2 linked regions of the Drosophila melanogaster genome follow. The protein of the gene in region 1 interacts with the protein of each later gene in a pairwise test. Each region holds a gene or a part of one and is shown on either strand. Other genes may lie near its edges.

Region 1 (10,843 bases):
CGGTCTCGGTATCGGTGTCGGTGCAAACGCTTGTTGCTGCTTGTCTCGCCTCGTGTTGCATAATTGGCAACGTTTTTGCAATTAAAACAACTAATTGGCAGCAAAAACTATTCGGCAGCCAGAGCAGCAGATGTTAGCTGCTCGTTGCTGCGAAGGCAAATGCGGTGGTTCCATAAAAAACGATGCGAAAAATTAGTTGCATAAATTTCTGCTAAAAGTTGCAACTTTTTGGGGCTGGCTAATTGAAGGTGGGGTGGGGAAAGTGCTGAACGATGTTTTCCTTTCGAAAAAGTGTCCAGCAGCGGCGAACTGAACTGGCCAATATTAATGTGTGTTTTTGGTTTGACAACTATTTTGCTTCTCCCTAATTTTTACGCTCCAGGAAATAGTAGTTGAAATTTAATTGAATGACAGCCCTCAGCATGCCACACATTTTAAAGGAAAAGCTCAAAAAAAAAAAGGGTTGAAAGCACAGGTGTTTATGCTTTGTTCGTTTCTCGTAGGCTTCGGGCTTCAGTCCAGAGATAAAAGTGTAGCTGCCGGCTTTTACTCCCCCAGCCAACGTGGATTGTTATGATTTTACAACAATATTATTTTTCCATCAACAACATCAGCAAAAATCAATCAAGTTCAATTAAATTGCTGCCAACGGACACAAAAAGATGCAGCAAAACTCCGAAAAAAAAGAGAAAACTCATGCAGCCTGAATGCAATTATCCAGAATTAATTTTACATAAAAATTGTGTAGAACAAAAAGGTTTGTCAGCAACAGAAATTAAAATGCCAATTATAAATTGCAATTAAGAGTCGAAGTGTAGGCAAGAAATTAAAATATGGCCTGTCCTGGCAAATCAATCAAACCTAATTGCCTGCTTATAAATACGAGTATGCGACTATGTAAACACGGTAATAACATTTGCACTGTTGCACACGCATCTATGTATGTGCATATGTATTGTTGTTTGCGAATAAATTTAACTATGGCAATGCGCAAATACAAAATACAAAAAAGACAAATGCTGGCTACATTTTGTATTGTACGCATATATTGTATTTTGCCCAAATGTGCGACCCAGAGTGTGTGTGTGTGGGTGTTTTTTGTGCGTGTGCGAGCTACATTTACACAAGTGCAAAAATTCCCAAAACACAAATCCTAAAAAAACATTTGTTACTTTTTGCGGGCTCCCGGGACGAAGGTGGCAAGGGGGAGACCACACCCGCACACACCCAAATCCACACACACACACACACACCCTCGGAGACCAGCTGAATGCAGGCCACCGCCTTCCATTGGTATTAGTGGGCCTTGTTAAAACACGGCGGTGTGTTTCGTCTCAAGCGTAGTCCTGCCCATCGAGGGGTCCTTTTCGGAGAAAGTATCTATTGGGTATTATTGTTTCCGAACTCTAATCTCCATGGCCTCTTGGAAAGCAGCTTAATCCCCCAAGTGCGTAGAAAAGTGCGTAAGCATACGCATCTATCACTAAGCTAGTTCAACCATTTTCAAACCATTGTAACCACTCAGCTGAGAGTATCTTAGATGTATTTCTCACCACTGGTATTTCAACAGGGCAGTTCAGATTACGAGTACATTCCCACTAGCGAAAAGATTAAGCTCTTATGCTGCGAATCCTTCTTTCCAATCGTTTCAGTCAACTCCCTCTGTAGCCTACGCCCTCTGACATTTCTACTCAGCCGATCCGAATTGTCAGCCATATTTGCATACATTGTCCCTTGGTCCAGAGACCTGGAAACTAAGTTCTGGCCAAAAAGACCTCCGCCTCTTAGCCCACTCCTCCAGCGATTGCCGCCTTCGAGCCGAATGATTGTAGTCCTCTTGTTGCGCATGAATGTACAACATTTTGTCTATTCGAGCTCGTAAATTCGAGATTATTTTGTGGTGCATTTAAATTTAGCAAACAGAGGAGCAGAGATATGGATGCGATGCCAGAGCTCCGATCCGCTTCACCATGCCTGTTTTGCCATCGCATTTAAAGTGAATTTTGCGGTTTGACTGCCGCTGAATGGAAATAGGAACGACTGAAGCACTTGAGGAGCAGAAGTCCGAGCCCGATCTTCCTCCCCACTTAGGCCTGCTCTTGGTCTTTCAACTTGAATGCAATTAGAAAGTAAAACGACTACAAATTGTCTTGCCGGGGCATTGATTGATTTCCGAGGAAATGGGGAAATTGACGCCGCAGATCCAAATCCAAATCCCAATCCCGGCCGGTCCCCGAACTGCGAGTCGGGAAAGTCGGCAGCCGAGCGGAGCGGAGTCCGTCTAAAAATACCACTCTGCATCTCGCTTTTCCTCTCCATCTACATTTCCATCTCCACCTCCGTTTCGTTTTCATTTCCATTTTCACCGAGTGCATTAGGAGCTCCAAAACGAAGGAAAAACACATGTAAGAGGACGAAACATTTCTAATGACTGCGGTGACACTTTTGTGGAAGTGCACACAGCCAGTCGGAAAATGCACACACTCGTAGGACTGTGGGACTCTGAATCTCTGAATCTCAGATACATATACATAGGTGCGGATACGGAGAAGTCGGGAGTCGGGGATTCGAGTTGCATACCTGTGCATTCTGCCGGATAAAATTAGAACGTGAAAGTCGCTGCAGTTGACAGCGTAAAAATGTGTGAACTTAGGAACAGGAAAGCGACGGCGGGGTGCCACAATATGCAACTATATATGTGGGTTTCTCCGATTTTCTGCCGCCAGTGCATGAACCAATGCGAAATTAATAACGAAACCGAAAGGCGGCTCCAAATTACACTTGCCACTGACTTGGGCTCCCTGCGACCCCACACCTTTGGCAAAACTTTTCCCCAACTTCCGCCGATTGATGCATAAACTTTCGAATTGCCGAAAATGATTTGAGACCACCCCATGGCCTCCCCCCCCCCCCCTACTTTGAACATATTTTTAGCCCAGTCATAATACAGTCACTATTTTATTGGTACAAAACAACAGGCACTACTCGAAAGCGAGTTTTTCGAATATGAAGATATGGCAAAGTTTAATAATTTTTAGAAACATTTTTATTAAATTACAGCTCAAATGCCTCAGTAATTTCTCAAAACAACAAACGATAAATGAAACTTTAAAAATTAAAGTTCAATGGTGTAAGGGAGTGAGTCAAAGGCAAAATTAGTCAACTGTTTTTAGTCACTAATTTGATTACGATTTCAAGCAAAATAACTGAAAAGATTGGATATCATGAAGTAACTTGCTTAAAAATATGATTGAATAATAATGACAGCTGAGTTAACTTATTGTGTTCAACTTGCATTTTTGTTGGATCCCAAGAGGAGCTGCCATGTGGCGAGTTTTAAGCTCGATAACTCCGCATTGGCCCCACTGTGCGCACTGTGGCTGTTTGCGTATCTGTGTGCGTGTCGGTGTGCCGGTGCCTCGGTGTGTGAGTGCGATCGGCCGTCTCGCTCTGGCCGCAGCGTCGGCACTCGAGTCGCAGTCGACTCAAAGTCACCAGAACATCGTCGACGGACTCGAGTTTTGTTCCGCCGATCAGTTGTGTCTTGTGCGTTGTGCGGTGAAGTTGCGCCTTCGTTCTGAAACCTAATAAGCTGAGAATCAGAACCTCTGGACATCTGAACGTCTGAAAATCCAGCAGCAGCTACTCGGACCGTGCGGTGCATCCTTCTCCAGACTGAGACTAAGATCCGATTCCAGCCTTAGCCTTCGACCCCACAAATCGCCGCTTTCAAGATGAGAGAAATCGTGAACCTGCAGGCCGGCCAGTGCGGCAACCAAATCGGCGCTAAGGTAGGTCTCGTCACTAGTCTCTTTTCCAACTCACATTTTCTCGAGTCGGCCGATCGCCGATTTCTGGTGGCACTTAATTTATTCAGATTGCCCGAAAACGTTTTTCAATGAGTTTCCAAAATGATCGGCTGCGGTGCGCAGTTCGATGTCGCCGCCTTTTTCAGCGCATTCAGCAATTAAAGCGAAAGAAAATTAACAAAAAAAAAAACAAGCACAGATACGTTAAATAAAAAATGCAAAGTGCAAAAAGTGGACGTTGAAAGAAACTTATTTTGAGCTCGTCTGGCACTCGATATGCCCTTTCTGCTTCGCAAAATTCGCTCAAGACGAAGAAAAAAAGAAAACGGGTTGGGCCGGCTGCAGATCACGAAAAGTGATTCATGGCAAACCCTGTCGGGGAAATTGGGCGGGGAACTTTGGGAGGGAGAATTGTGGCTGAGGCGCAAATCAGCGAGGAAACTTCTGGGGACTTTTGCAATTTTTTGACGCCGAGAAGGGAAATCTCTTGAATTATCTGACCGGAGAAATCTTTTCGCTTTGCTTGAGTTTCCTGCGCTCCAAAGAAACCACAAAAAATGCAATAAAAGAAGCAATAGTATGTAAAGAAAGCTTTATACGTTGGTTGGGCAATATAACTTGATTTCAGTAGCAAACTCACTGGAGAAGTAACTGAAGTCCATCATTAATATTTATGAATATAATGTACACAGTTATCCAATTTTTCCCGAAGCTATATACAAATATTTACAAGAGGCTTTCCCAATATGAATCCAACTGCAGCTGTTCTAATCTTTCCTAGAATTACGGGTAGAGTATCCGATGAGCAATCGTGCCAACCAACCACTACTGGGCTTTTATCAATCGAAGTGAGCGAGAAACGGAAACTCGAGTAATGCAAACGATCGGAGCAATTGGGTTCTGACTTATATATAGGATAGATATAGGATAGTCCACTCAATCCAATCCAATCAGCACGCCCGAAAAACCAAGTGCAGTTCTTCGCGAAAAGGAGGCAGGCAGGCAACCGGCTTTTGCGAACTCAGTTGTTTTTTGGCAATACCAGTTTGGATCGATGTGTTTCTTACAAGTGGCACCCCGCTGAGTGCATTTTTCTGTGGCATCAATGTCAATGCCACAGACTCGATTCGCTCCCAATCATCGTCCAATTGCAAAGTGGGTCGCTGATAAAACCACATCATAGTACACTCACGAAAGATAAGCCCGCGGATCTTAATCATTTGATATGAGTCAATTTGTGGAGAATTAGACGACGCAGCGACTGACTAGTCAGCAGCTTCAATTTAAAAGCAAACTCGCCTGCCTTTTCGGCTTCCCGGAATTTCGGCAATAGCAATGGTTTTATGGGGCAGCGCTCGTAGGTATATACATAAGTACTGAATGAGATATGATGGGAAGTTTGTCTGGTAATTTGAGCAGCGAAACCCCCCCGGTAATGTGAGACCCCAAAAAACCGGCAAACTGAGAAAGAAACAACTAACAGCTGAGTGGACAAGCGGATTCTTGAATAAGAATGGCAAAGAATGCCAGCCCGAAAACCGCACAAGTGCAGGAGAGGAAGGAAGTGACTCACCGGACCTGTCCTGTATACAATTACAGGATATCGGGGTTGCCCACTGGCCACTGACTTTGTGTGCGAATCCCCTTTTGGCTCGAGCCACGACGATGAATGCATACTAAGTGTGCGGCCTCCGAGATTAAGTAGGATCCAAGTGGCCGTCCAGATCCGAAGTCAATAAACCCGGGGCTCTCTTTCGGAATTCTTATCGCCTTCCTCCGTCGTTTTTGACACTCCACAGCAGCTGCGGGAAAAGACAAAAGTCAAGAGTGAGTGTGGGTGCGGGTGCGGGGCACTTCAATCGAAGAATTTTCCTCCTCGGATGCCAAATGCTTTATATCTTGTGAAAATAGCACTCTCTTCGTCTCTTTGCATAGCCAGCGATCCTCTGCAGAAAGAAGATGGGCTCCAAGTTCACGCTCGAGTGAGTCTCGCATAGACGAAGTGCAGTCGCGGATTGGGGGAGTGGAGGAGTCTCTGGCTCCCAGACATGCAACACTTAATGAGGGCGTCTCGATTGCCAGTCGCCAGATGATCGCATGCTAGAGGCGTGGCCAGGGGCGGCGGTCCCGTCTCCAAAGGGGGCTTAGACCAGGCCAGTTGCAGTTACTAGTAGACTCCAGGCAGCAGAGCTTAGCTTTGCGAGCTAATTGCACAAATTGAAGATTGGACTCGCCAGCGAAGCTGTTAGAACAGATGTTGTCTATTTTCGTGGATGAAAGCCCGGAAAACTAATTGTGGAAAAGCATAGCAATGAATTCCACTTTGATAATATGAAGGAAAGAAACATATACTCCTAGGATATACTATCTTCTCATACAACCATCTTGCTTGGGGCTTTTCAAGCTACAGTTGGCCAGTTCCATTTGTAGAACGTTTTCCATCACAAGCAATCAACCTTACGTTCCGATTCGACACGAGTTTTCTTAACCAAATTGAATTCTCGCCACCGATCGTGTTCGCCCGAAATAAATCTGGCCGAAAAGCCATCAATCTATAATTGCAATCTAACTGTGCCTCGGTTTATACCTCCAACTGCCGTTCACCGAAAAGGCCGACAGTTTTCCGACAAAGCCATTATCTGGCAAATGAAAATCCGAGGTGGAGCATTAGTCGAATGTAAAAGTAAAGCGATCAGCGATGGTCGTGCCCGCAGGGGGGAGAAGTGGAAATGGGGGGCAGGAGGGGCCGTGAAAAACGACTTTTCACTTCAACAGTTTTGTGTGCTAATTCGGTTTTCATATTTGCTGCTGCCGCGTGTGGTTTTGTTTTCTGTTTGCGCGGCCTTATAAGCCGCGCTTTGTTGTTGGAGCTTCATAATTGCAGCGGCCACACTCCAATTAAATTTGATGATCTTGCTAAGATTGCAGTTGCCTGAGATTCACTTCGTTGATGTAGTTTCCGCCCCTCTCCGCTGGGCCGTAAATAAACAAAGAAATGCAGACGCCATGGGTAGCTCCACTGCTCCTTCTCCTCGCAGTCAGATCCCCATCCCCATCTGCAACCCCATCCCCATCCCCAGTTCCCAGTGCCTTTGTTTATAGTCGCACACGTCAAGTTCAAGTGCCAAAGGGAAACAACTCAGACAGCAGACATCGCTAACATTTTTATTATTTCCCCTATTCCTCGCCGGAGAATCTCGGTGACTGTTGCCAAGCCAGCCGCGTTTCGCTCCGTTGGAGAGGCCATGCTGATCCCCAAAACCGATCCCCAAATAGTCGCCCAATGATCCCCGGAGGCGCCCAAATTTGGTTCTTGTTAAACGCAGCACAACAATTGCAGAGCACTTCCTCAATAAATCGCCGCGATGGCTGTGTATCCATGAGATACGTAATTTATCGCATTTCGATCGGGTCACTGGATGGGAAGGGGGATGTCTAAGGAGGTGGCCCCATCTAATGGTGGGTCATTGGCCTGCAGTCTCTAATTCTTGGCCCCCGATGAGTCAGCAGTCGTGTATCTCTCACACTCCCATCCCATCCCATCGCAACCCATTCCATTCTGCTCTGCTCCGCTATTTTTAAATGCATTTCTCCCCAGGAGCGGCGTGTCGTGGAAATTTTGTCCCATACAGTGAGAAGAGGGACAGGGTTTTTTATTTAATTTTTACCAGCCCGGACGCATTTTTTAAATTTAGCACTAAATCAGGGCATGTTCGGCGGCGTCCAAAACTGACGTTTGAAAAACTAAACATAAATTCGGTTTTCCCTTTTTTTTCGGGGCAATCTGTCTCACTTTTGACTGCGCCATCGGAGGCCCCCTATATGGACAGGCCAGGCCGTCCGCATCCGCATTTAGCCCATATATATACTCGTACTTGTGTATTTTTCCAAACCTCAAACTTTATGGGCTGCGGCTGCGCCTTGTTGTTTGTCACATTGTCACATTTTCACATCGGAGGAGGCAGGAACAGAGATTTCTAGAATGGTTCTTGGGGTGCCTCTCTATGTTTTTTTTTTTTTTTTGGATTTTGGGCGGATTCTGTGGCTGCGGCCATATGTCAGGGCTCAACATGAACTCTGACATGGCTGGGTGGGCACAATTACTCAACTTGATGAACGGCTCCGGGAATATTTAGTGGGTCTTCGTGTCGACTAAAGAATCCGCAATCGCCAAGTGCTCCGCTGGGTTCATAAAGATATCATATGTGTTGGCCGATAAGGATGAAAGATCTCCGCTGGAGTGGCGGATAAGGAGCTGTCAAGATGCGGGATGCAGCTTCTTATCTCAATGGCGTATATTATGTACATACGTATATTTATTTCTCAGAAACATGGCAAGTTTTCTTTGAACGAAGCATTATTTGATGTTCAGGGAATTTGCTAATTGGTTTAATAGACTCGAGCTTGAGAAACTCAAACTAATTACTTCTAATCAAACGAGTTTTTTTACTTTTATCCAATAAATATGACTTTCTTGTATATGCAATTCGAATGAGTTATCATTCTAGGATCCAGCTTTGAGTAAAACTTCCTAACACACTTCCTAACCTTTTGCTTTCCCGCAGTTCTGGGAGATCATTTCCGAGGAGCACGGCATCGACAGCAATGGCATCTACGTGGGCGACAGTGATCTGCAGCTGGAGCGCGTCAGTGTCTACTACAACGAAGCATCGGGTAACACTTTGCCATGTCATTAGATCGCCCAAATGGTTTTCACTAATCGCATCCCCTTTCAGCAGTCACGCGGTCGTCGGGTGGCAAGTACGTGCCCAGGGCCATCCTGCTCGATCTGGAGCCCGGAACCATGGAGTCGGTGCGTTCCGGTCCGTACGGACAACTCTTCCGGCCGGACAACTTCGTGTACGGACAGTCGGGAGCGGGCAACAACTGGGCCAAGGGTCACTACACCGAGGGCGCCGAGCTGGTGGACAATGTCCTGGACGTGGTCCGCAAGGAGTGCGAGAACTGCGACTGCCTGCAGGTTGGTACTTTTGGATGAGAACGTGTTAATCTGGTACTGATTCCGTATGTCTTTAGGGCTTCCAATTGACGCACTCGCTGGGCGGCGGCACTGGGTCCGGAATGGGCACCCTGCTGATCTCGAAGATCCGCGAGGAGTACCCCGACCGCATCATGAACACCTACTCGGTGGTGCCATCGCCCAAGGTGTCGGACACCGTGGTGGAGCCCTACAACGCCACCCTGTCGATCCACCAGCTGGTGGAGAACACAGACGAGACGTACTGCATCGACAACGAGGCGCTGTACGACATCTGCTTCCGGACGCTGAAGGTGTCGAATCCCAGCTACGGAGACTTGAACCACCTGGTCTCGCTGACCATGTCCGGGGTGACCACCTGCCTGCGTTTCCCCGGCCAGCTGAACGCCGATCTGCGCAAGCTGGCGGTCAACATGGTTCCATTCCCGCGTCTCCACTTCTTCATGCCCGGATTCGCGCCGCTCACCTCGCGCGGATCGCAGCAGTACCGCGCCCTCACCGTTCCCGAACTGACCCAGCAGATGTTCGACGCCAAGAACATGATGGCCGCCTGTGATCCACGCCACGGTCGCTACCTCACGGTGGCCGCCGTCTTCCGCGGCCGCATGTCCATGAAGGAGGTGGACGAGCAGATGCTGGCGGTGCAGAACAAGAACAGCTCCTACTTCGTGGAGTGGATCCCGAACAATGTGAAGACCGCGGTGTGCGACATCCCGCCGAAGGGCCTGAAGATGTCCTCAACGTTCATCGGCAACACCACGGCCATCCAGGAGCTGTTCAAGCGGATCTCCGAGCAGTTCTCGGCCATGTTCCGGCGCAAGGCCTTCCTGCACTGGTACACCGGCGAGGGCATGGACGAGATGGAGTTCACCGAGGCGGAGAGCAACATGAACGACCTGGTGTCCGAGTACCAGCAGTACCAGGAGGCCACCGCCGACGACGAGTTCGACCCGGAGGTCAATCAGGAGGAGGTCGAGGGCGATTGTATTTAATGGTGTGGCCAGAGGAATGAGGGGCGTGCGTGACGGCAGGGGGGATAGGGATGTCCGCTTTCTGCGCGGCATGCGCCACCAGCTGGCGGCCAAGCACTGCAGCATCCTGTGACCCCCGCCGTTGGACACACACACAGTCACAGCAGACGCAGACCACACACCACCACAATCATCACACACGGACAGGAAGGACATGCAGACGAACAGGAAGGTCAAGCGTAGTTAGAACATCAAACGGAAATGTTCCCAAGCCCATGCTTCCGCTACTCCCCATCATCCAGCTCATCCATCGTCATCCATCATCGCCCATCCCGCCGCATCATCTCACATCTCACATCTGACATCTCGCATCTTCATCTTTTTGTTCATTTTCGGCACTTGTCACCTCCTCTGCGCTATATACTTTATACTATACTATACTATATACCATATACACACTTTACACGGAGGCACGTCTATCGCATTTCTCGCAGCCATTTTCACCCGCTTTCCAACCCACCCACCACCACCCATGTCACTCCATTCATAACCCCAAGTTATCCCACGTCATTCTTATACTACTATTTATATCGCAACGTCAGCAGAAGGACCACAAGTATCTAGTATTGCAAAGGATATCGAATTTATGCAGAAATCTCAAAACGAGAATGTCCAGCGTCTAGGAAGTCGGCACTCAAGACTTGGCGGCACTTACGTTTAGGGCTATACGATAAACGAGCTCATCCAAAGATAATCGAACGACAACTCTCATGAGATCCTCTATAAAAGGCAATTTCTGAAAAGCATCTGCAATTGTATTTACATAATCTTAGGGCACAATCTATTCACTTTGTATTCGTGTGCAGTACTTCTCTTGTAGTTTTATATGGATAAAAACATTTGTACCCAATAAATAACTAATAATAATGGCAAACATTTTTGACAAATAATAAATGGAATTTATTTAAAATTTACAACATTGTGTTTCTGCTTAAAAGAGAGAGTCATGTATATAACTTCTGAATATTGATAATTATTCTGTATAATCAGTTGGAGCTGCAGAC
Region 2 (7,005 bases), on another chromosome or scaffold:
TAAGTGATTTAGGGATCTCAGTGAAATACTCATTAGCGCGTCGAGCTGATTACTGAATAGCCCTTAGTGATTAGCGACTAGTGTCAAGTGCCATCAATCAGAGTTGCTTTCGATGAATCACTTAGCCGACAGCTGCCGCGAATGCACTCGTTGCAAATGTGGCGCGTCGGAGGGCGAGTTGCACTCGCCATCCATCAATTAGTTGAGCACTTGCCACCCCCACCACCCAGTTGCCCACCCACTCAGCATATTCGTTTAGTCAGGCGCAACCCCGCAGGGGAACTCCCGCGTGTCCATTCCCTATCGCAATGGCAATCTGCAATCTGACAAATCAAATCTTGTATGCAAAGCAGCCAAAGCAAAGCGGCAACTGGCGACACGAGCAGCAGCAAAAGCAACAAGGCGACGAGCAATTTGTACGAGCATTTGTGCCAACAAAACGCTGGCACGCAGGCGAGCAGGAAATAAGGCAAGCTGGAGAGCAGGAAATCAGGCAAGCAGTGAGACAGGCAAGCGAAGTGAAAGCACGCAAGTGAACTGGAGACAAAGCGAAGCAAAAACAAAAGCATAGACGCAGCTGAAAAGCGCCCAAGCAAAAGTATCGAAAGCAGCAGAAAAGGTACCAAGACGCAAAAGTAGTGTAATAGTCAAATCAGATAGGTTAGTAAAGTTAGGTAAGGCAAGAAGGAATTCGTAGGCTAACAAAAGCTGCAAAGCACGAGAAAAGCAAAAGCACGTAATAGATATTTTCAGAAGCAAGAAAGCGAACCAGCAGATGAAAGCAGGATCCAAAAGAAGAAGACTAGTCTGAAGAGGAAAGCAAGAAAGCAGCAGACAGAAGAGCTAGCAGGCAAAGCAAGTTAGCAAGCAAGCAGATATAACAAAAAGAATAGCAGGAAAGCAAGATAGCAAGCAGGATACCGAGCAAGATAGCCTTATTCCAAAGCAAAAATCAAACAGTCAAGTAACCGATAAGGAAGCGAACGCAAGCAGATTAGCAGTAGAGCAAGTTAGCAAAAAAGCAAGTAAGCAATATAGGGAGCAGGAGACGACGACTAAATAGTTGCGTGACCAGCGCGCTTTGCTCACTAAACAGCGTAATTGGTCATAAAGCGACTGCTGCGAATGACCCGCACGCCGGACTAACCGACCGTTTACGGCAATTACTAACCGGAGCAGAGGAGGTGACAAGCAATTAGGCGGTCGGCAGGCGGCGGCGGGGGGTCGGCCGGCCCCCCCAACCCCGGATGTATAAGCCGGACACGCTCACGCGCCGCGGCAGCCTGAGATCCCTGCGCAGCGCCCCGCTCCTGAGCACCGTGCTCGAAAGCACGCTTTCACTGACCCGCATTCACCCGATCGCCTCCTTGGAGCTACCCGGCCTCGACTATGCGGTCCACTCGCAGTCGGCCTTTGGCGCCTACGGGCTAGCCCACCCCCGGGATCTAGCCACCTGCACCTCGTTGCGCAGCGGCCTTGCGGCGATCACCGCGGCGTCCGCTTCCGCCGCCGGCGGCGTTTCCCAGTCGCAGAGCGCCCTCCTCGGAAGGTACGGGCCCAACGCCTCGATTCGCCACGGAGAAAGAAAGATTGTCCAGCCAAAACGGTAGGTCCTCGCTATCTATAAGGTCACCACCACCATAGGGACTAGAGTCATATGTCATGAGAGGTCTAGTATATCATATCTAGTTAGTGCTTATCTGGGGTCAGATCCAAAGGACTTACGACAGAATAACTTTTTATAAGTGGATACACAGCATCCGGTTTAACCATTTAATAGCTTTGTTTTAATCAATCAGTTGTCTGGCTATCAAGAGATAGAAAAGCATATAATAATTGGTTTATAGAATAGCCTACAGAATGCAAGGGGTCTTCCCTTCTGGTCATCGAGATTAGCTGCTCCACCACTTCGCGGCCAGAGAACAGTAAAATAAGTGAATTTATCACATTTTGCTCTCTAAAATATATCGATCGATTTACTAGTATCAAAAGGGTCATACAATCAATATACCAACAGCGTACGGTATTGCAAACGGCGATATGAAATAGCCAAGGTAAGAACCTAAGCTATGCTTGAACTATTGCCAGTCCCTGACGGGACTCCAGCGTTTTAGGTTTCCGTCCCAGGGCAGATCATCGATATTCGCCTGGGCGGCGATTGCGGCCTTCACTCGATTCGAAAACTCTACTGGGGACTCGTCGTTGCACCGGCTGAGTGCCGGCATGTACCAAACATCGCAGCAAATGCACCACGAGCTGACCACCATCAGCATGTATCTGAGCATAGAGTAACGGGTGCTGTCCCAATAGGCCTCGCCGAATCGGCGATCGTATCGAATGGCCACTGGATGAACGACGTCGCTGACCGCGAAGCTACCCTTTTTGAACTGCATTACGGCGGTGTTGTTGATGCAAGTGCCCTCGGGGAAGAGCAGGACCGGCGGCCGATCCTTCATGGAGCAGTGTAGGCGGAGCACCAGACCCAGAGCCTCACGATCGGCCAGTTCCTTGCGGTCGAACCACATGTGGTGGGAGACCCTCGACAGGGCGCGCTGCAGGACGCCCAGGATGCCGGTGTGAACCTGGCCCGTCAGCGAGTAGTTGGCATCGCACATCAGCACCAGGACGTCTAAGGGGCTCGTGTGATTGCACACACAGATGCCCTTGGTGGGCCGATACTCCGTGTTGTGGAATCTGCGGATCATCGGCAGGCAGGCGGCCGTGATTCGGAAGCACTGCCGCAATACCAGCTCCACCAACTTTTTCTTGAAGCACCAGTCGGGAATGTGACCCAGCAGCATTGAGACTCCACTGATCATGAACAGGCACAGCCAGCAGCCAATGGTCCTGAAGGGCAAAAGCAGTCCGTAGCGTACAACCCAGCCCAGCAGCCAGACCGTCCTTAAACGCCAGCTGAGGTATCGATTCCTCTGACGAAGGTTGCGGGTCAGCAGATTCCATTCCCCAGCTGGCGAAGGTGGGGCCACAAACCTCTGGGTCACGTCGTCCTCGAGCACCAAGCCCAAGCCGGCGGTTATGAAGTCGCAGCACTGCTCCACTCGGATATTGAGACGATTCTTGATCGGCGGCGAGAGCAGCTTCTCCATGCCATCGCCCTTATTTCCGACCGCCCACTTTTTGCCCAGGCGGCACCGTTCTTCGCGAGCTCGCCTCCTGCGAGTTTCCGCCAACTGATTGCCTATCCAGGCGAAGAGGAGTTCCAGGACATCCAGGTAGCGGCACTGCAGCCAAAAGAAGGACGCCCACAATAGGATGCCCAGGAAGACCAGTTGAATTAACATGGCTGTTGAAAGTTGAAAAAGTTTTACAAATTTAAGAGAAATGTAGATCCTCGTGTTTACCTCCTACTCCTATCGACAACAAAAATCTATTGAGCCTTGACAGCTAAAGCCCACGGGCTAAAAAGCCCATATCTTAAACTTATCCAAACATAGCCCACTGGGAAAACGTTCCATAACAATAGCATTGGTTGTGGTGCGGTTTAGAGGTATTTAGGAAAAGGGTTGTCGATAAGAACTTCCAGCCCGATACAAATTTTAGTAATTCTTAATGAGCTGCATTAATACGAGTATTAAGTATAGGAGTTCACCCACAAATTTCGCCATTAAAGCCCTAATTCAATTTGGCGCCGACTTTTTGGCTTTTCCTCACATTTTTCCGTTTTCCGAATATATATATATTTTTTTTTTTTGCAAGCGCCCAAAAGTCTTGATTTATTTTGCCCGAGATGTGAAGGAAAAATAAGAAAGCGAACAAGAAACTTTGCCATCGACTTCCCTTTTTTTTTTGGCTGCCAGTTGGGTTTGAGTTTTTGGGTCTTTGGGTTCGGCGTTTTGACTGGGGTCTTAGCCCATATTTTGTTTTTTCATATGGCAATAATTCAATTATGCCATAACAAGGCCGCAAAATGTTTGCCTTCGGGCGACCCGAAATCACTTAAAAACCACAGAAACTTCTGGCTTTGTTAATTCGTTAATTAAATGGGGTTTGCGCTTTCGCCACCGCTCCTCGAGGATTACGCAATGAGCGATGATGGCGATGGCTTGGCGGTATGTTGGTATGATGGTAAGATGGTGGAGCTTCCTTCCGCTGCCCTCCATTGATTACATTGGCTGGCAACAATCTTGGCTTATCAAATGCAAACAACGGCGACAGGCAACGTCAACGTCACCGACAACTCATTTATGCCCAAGCCCGGGCCCTTAATTAGCATAGAATGTGTTTTAAAAAGCCACTTGAGCTAAACATTCAAAACACCTACAGGGTGTTTTCCCCAGCCACCAGACACCAACCTTCTGCCCCATCCTCATCCCCATCCCCATCCCCACTACCTGTCTCGCGCTTTTCCTCGCTTTTCCACTTTTCCAGCGACAACGACAACGACCTTAGGCGCTTTCTGCGCGGGAAAGTATCTGCGTGGCACAGTTTGGCAAGTCTGAGGCCGGACAGATTTAAATACCCTAACTGCCGAAAGCGAGGAATTCAAATGAAACCAGCGACTGGGGGGCCACCGGAAGATTCGCAGATCCTTCGTAAATGTCAGGGAAACAAATTAATAGAGTCAAATTCAATAGATATGAAGAAATAATCACTTTTTGAATACGGATTAATATATGGCAAAAATGGGCCTTCAATTTTCAAGACCCAATATGATCTGATGAGCACCGATTTAAAAGTTGAATTCGATTTTCGGCGTATAATCTATATAAGCTCTATTACCATTAAAAATCTTCTTCTTTAATTTCTTAACCATGCCGATTCTTCAGTTCGCTCACTTGGTAATCACCACACTAACCAGTAACCAATAGCCAGTAAACCCTTCATAACCACTATTGCCTGCTTTCCATATCGATCGATTCGCATACATTCAGTTAGGGTATCCGTGTGTCGGTGTCGCCGCAGCAGCGACCACGGCAGCACGTGACGCTCAAGTGTTGGGATAAGCATTTCCGCTCTTCAGACGCTACACGAAAAAAAGCGCCCCTCTTGTGACAAAGCGCTTGTTGTTGTCGTGGAAAAGCGGTGGGAAAGCGTCTGGCGAGGGGAGGGCGGGTGGCAGGGCAAATGAGGGAGCACAAAATTAAATTGTGACGCTGGCGCTCCGACACGCCCACATGACGAGGCGCCGCCACGCCCTCCTGCCATTCAAAAGTAATTTAGCGTTTAAAAAACATTTTTCTGCCTGACTTTTAAAAAGTTGCGCGTAATGCGAGTGTGTGTTTGGGTATTTGCGTGCTTTGCGCAGGTGAAAAAGCGAACCAGCGCTCGGAAAAGCCGCCACTCACTCACCTAGCTGTTGTAGCCACGTTTCGATTTCGATGTCGTCGTCTGTCTGATCCGCCTGATTGTATGTTGTAATGGCTCGGTAAAGGAAGCGAAAAAACCTACTGCCTTCGAAATTTTTGTGCTTATTGACTTTGACGTTTCACCAACCGGCTACGTGAGTGTATTTATCAAGGAGTGAACTGCCGGGAAAATCTGGGAAAATGTCTATTAAAGTGCTGCTTAGATTATGGAAAATCTACGCTATGACAAAAAAAATGGAAGAGCAGGATAATGAAATAAGGGAAGTTGTTAGCACTTTCGCATGGAATAAAATGGCATATTACAAAAAATAACAGCAACGCTTTAGTCGAGTACTGCGACTATTACAACGTTTATGCTATGAGGTATCGTGATCTCTTGAAAGTGTGAAAGCAAATTATCCCCTGATTATGCGGCATTTCAAAAATTCGTGAATTTATTGACCTCATTTATTGGCCTGATTTATTATGCCTTCGGAATCTTCCTGTCTAATCTAAACTTTTTAGCTTTAATAGTTCCTAAGATCGAGGCGTTCATACTGATGGAGTCGGCTATTGAGTGGGATCAGAAATATATATATACTTTATATGGTCGGAAACGCATCCTGTTACGTACTTTTCACCGAATGTAGTATACCCTTTTATTCTACAAGTAGCGGGTTTAAAATGCTTAATATGACGAACATTATTTAACCAATTATTTTGAAATAGTTAAAATAATGTTGATAATATAACTCTGAATGCATCAATTAAAGCTTAGTTTCTTGAACTATGTATTGTGTAATTTGAATTAAAGAAAACATTTAAGCCAAGTCATAGAAGCCAAGTCACAAGCTAGAAAATCCTTTTGCCATTAGATGAAATTAAAAGGCATCAGTCGAGAAATAATGTAAACAATCAAGTGGAATAATGACAATGGAAAAACATTCACCCCACTTCCCCGCATTTGCATAATTTTGGGCAATTATTTCCATAAGTTGTTCATCCCCCCGAAAGCCAGGGAAAATTATAATTTCCTTGGGATTTTTGTTCGCCTTCTTGTACCCCGACTGGAAGTTTGTATGCGGCTGTTTCGAGCCAAGTTAATTAAAAAGTGTTGCCATTTGACCCTCGAAACTCGGAACTTAGAGCTAGCAGCTCGCAACTCAAATCTCTTTGACACTCGATGGGGAAAGCTCGCCCGCACTTTCCCATAATTGGTTTATGCCATTTTCCCGGCTTGTTTACGCGCCGTCAACATTTGCATAATGGAACTGGAATCAAATACAAGAAATGTGATTTATAATTTTTCTGTTGTTTGACGGCGGGCATTTTAATTAGTCCCGGAAGAGGACCCATCGTCTAATTAGGTGGGGTTGGGGCAAGGATCTCCACCGCCATCAAATCATTATTTAATATAAGCCGCCTAGCCTGCCTTCCATGTTTTGATGAATTACTTCCGCCTGATGGACGATACGTGACGAAAGTTGTCAGAAAAGCCAAAAATGGGGTAGGAATCTGAGTCCTATGTATTTTTGATTTGCGGCCGCATCGAGCAGTTTGCCAATCATCCATCCTTGAGGCCTCGTTTATTTGCGGCAATTAATCAAGTTGGCCAGTAGCGGAGCGACTTATCCCCGAATAAGTGATAAAGATTTATCACTCAGCCGCCCCGTTGCCGAGGACCTTAAAGCGATTTAAA

The links. The genes of interacting proteins can lie anywhere in the genome.
Region 2: the proteins of betaTub60D (region 1) and CG15450 interact in a two-hybrid assay, tested with the Drosophila melanogaster proteins (one large-scale study listed by BioGRID).

What each region holds. Positions count from the first base shown.
Region 1 is NT_033778.4:24,302,348-24,313,190, forward strand, and holds betaTub60D (beta-Tubulin at 60D), read left to right. Parts: upstream 1-3,533; 5' UTR 3,534-3,734; coding exon 3,735-3,791; intron 3,792-8,374; coding exon 8,375-8,483; intron 8,484-8,545; coding exon 8,546-8,790; intron 8,791-8,846; coding exon 8,847-9,800; 3' UTR 9,801-10,752; downstream 10,753-10,843. UniProt on the Drosophila melanogaster protein: Tubulin is the major constituent of microtubules, a cylinder consisting of laterally associated linear protofilaments composed of alpha- and beta-tubulin heterodimers.
Region 2 is NC_004354.4:20,820,589-20,827,593, reverse strand, and holds CG15450 (uncharacterized protein), read right to left. Parts: upstream 5,449-7,005; 5' UTR 5,311-5,448; intron 3,305-5,310; 5' UTR 3,303-3,304; coding exon 2,079-3,302; 3' UTR 1,953-2,078; downstream 1-1,952. Other genes in the region: shakB (shaking B), read left to right, coding at 1,248-1,606.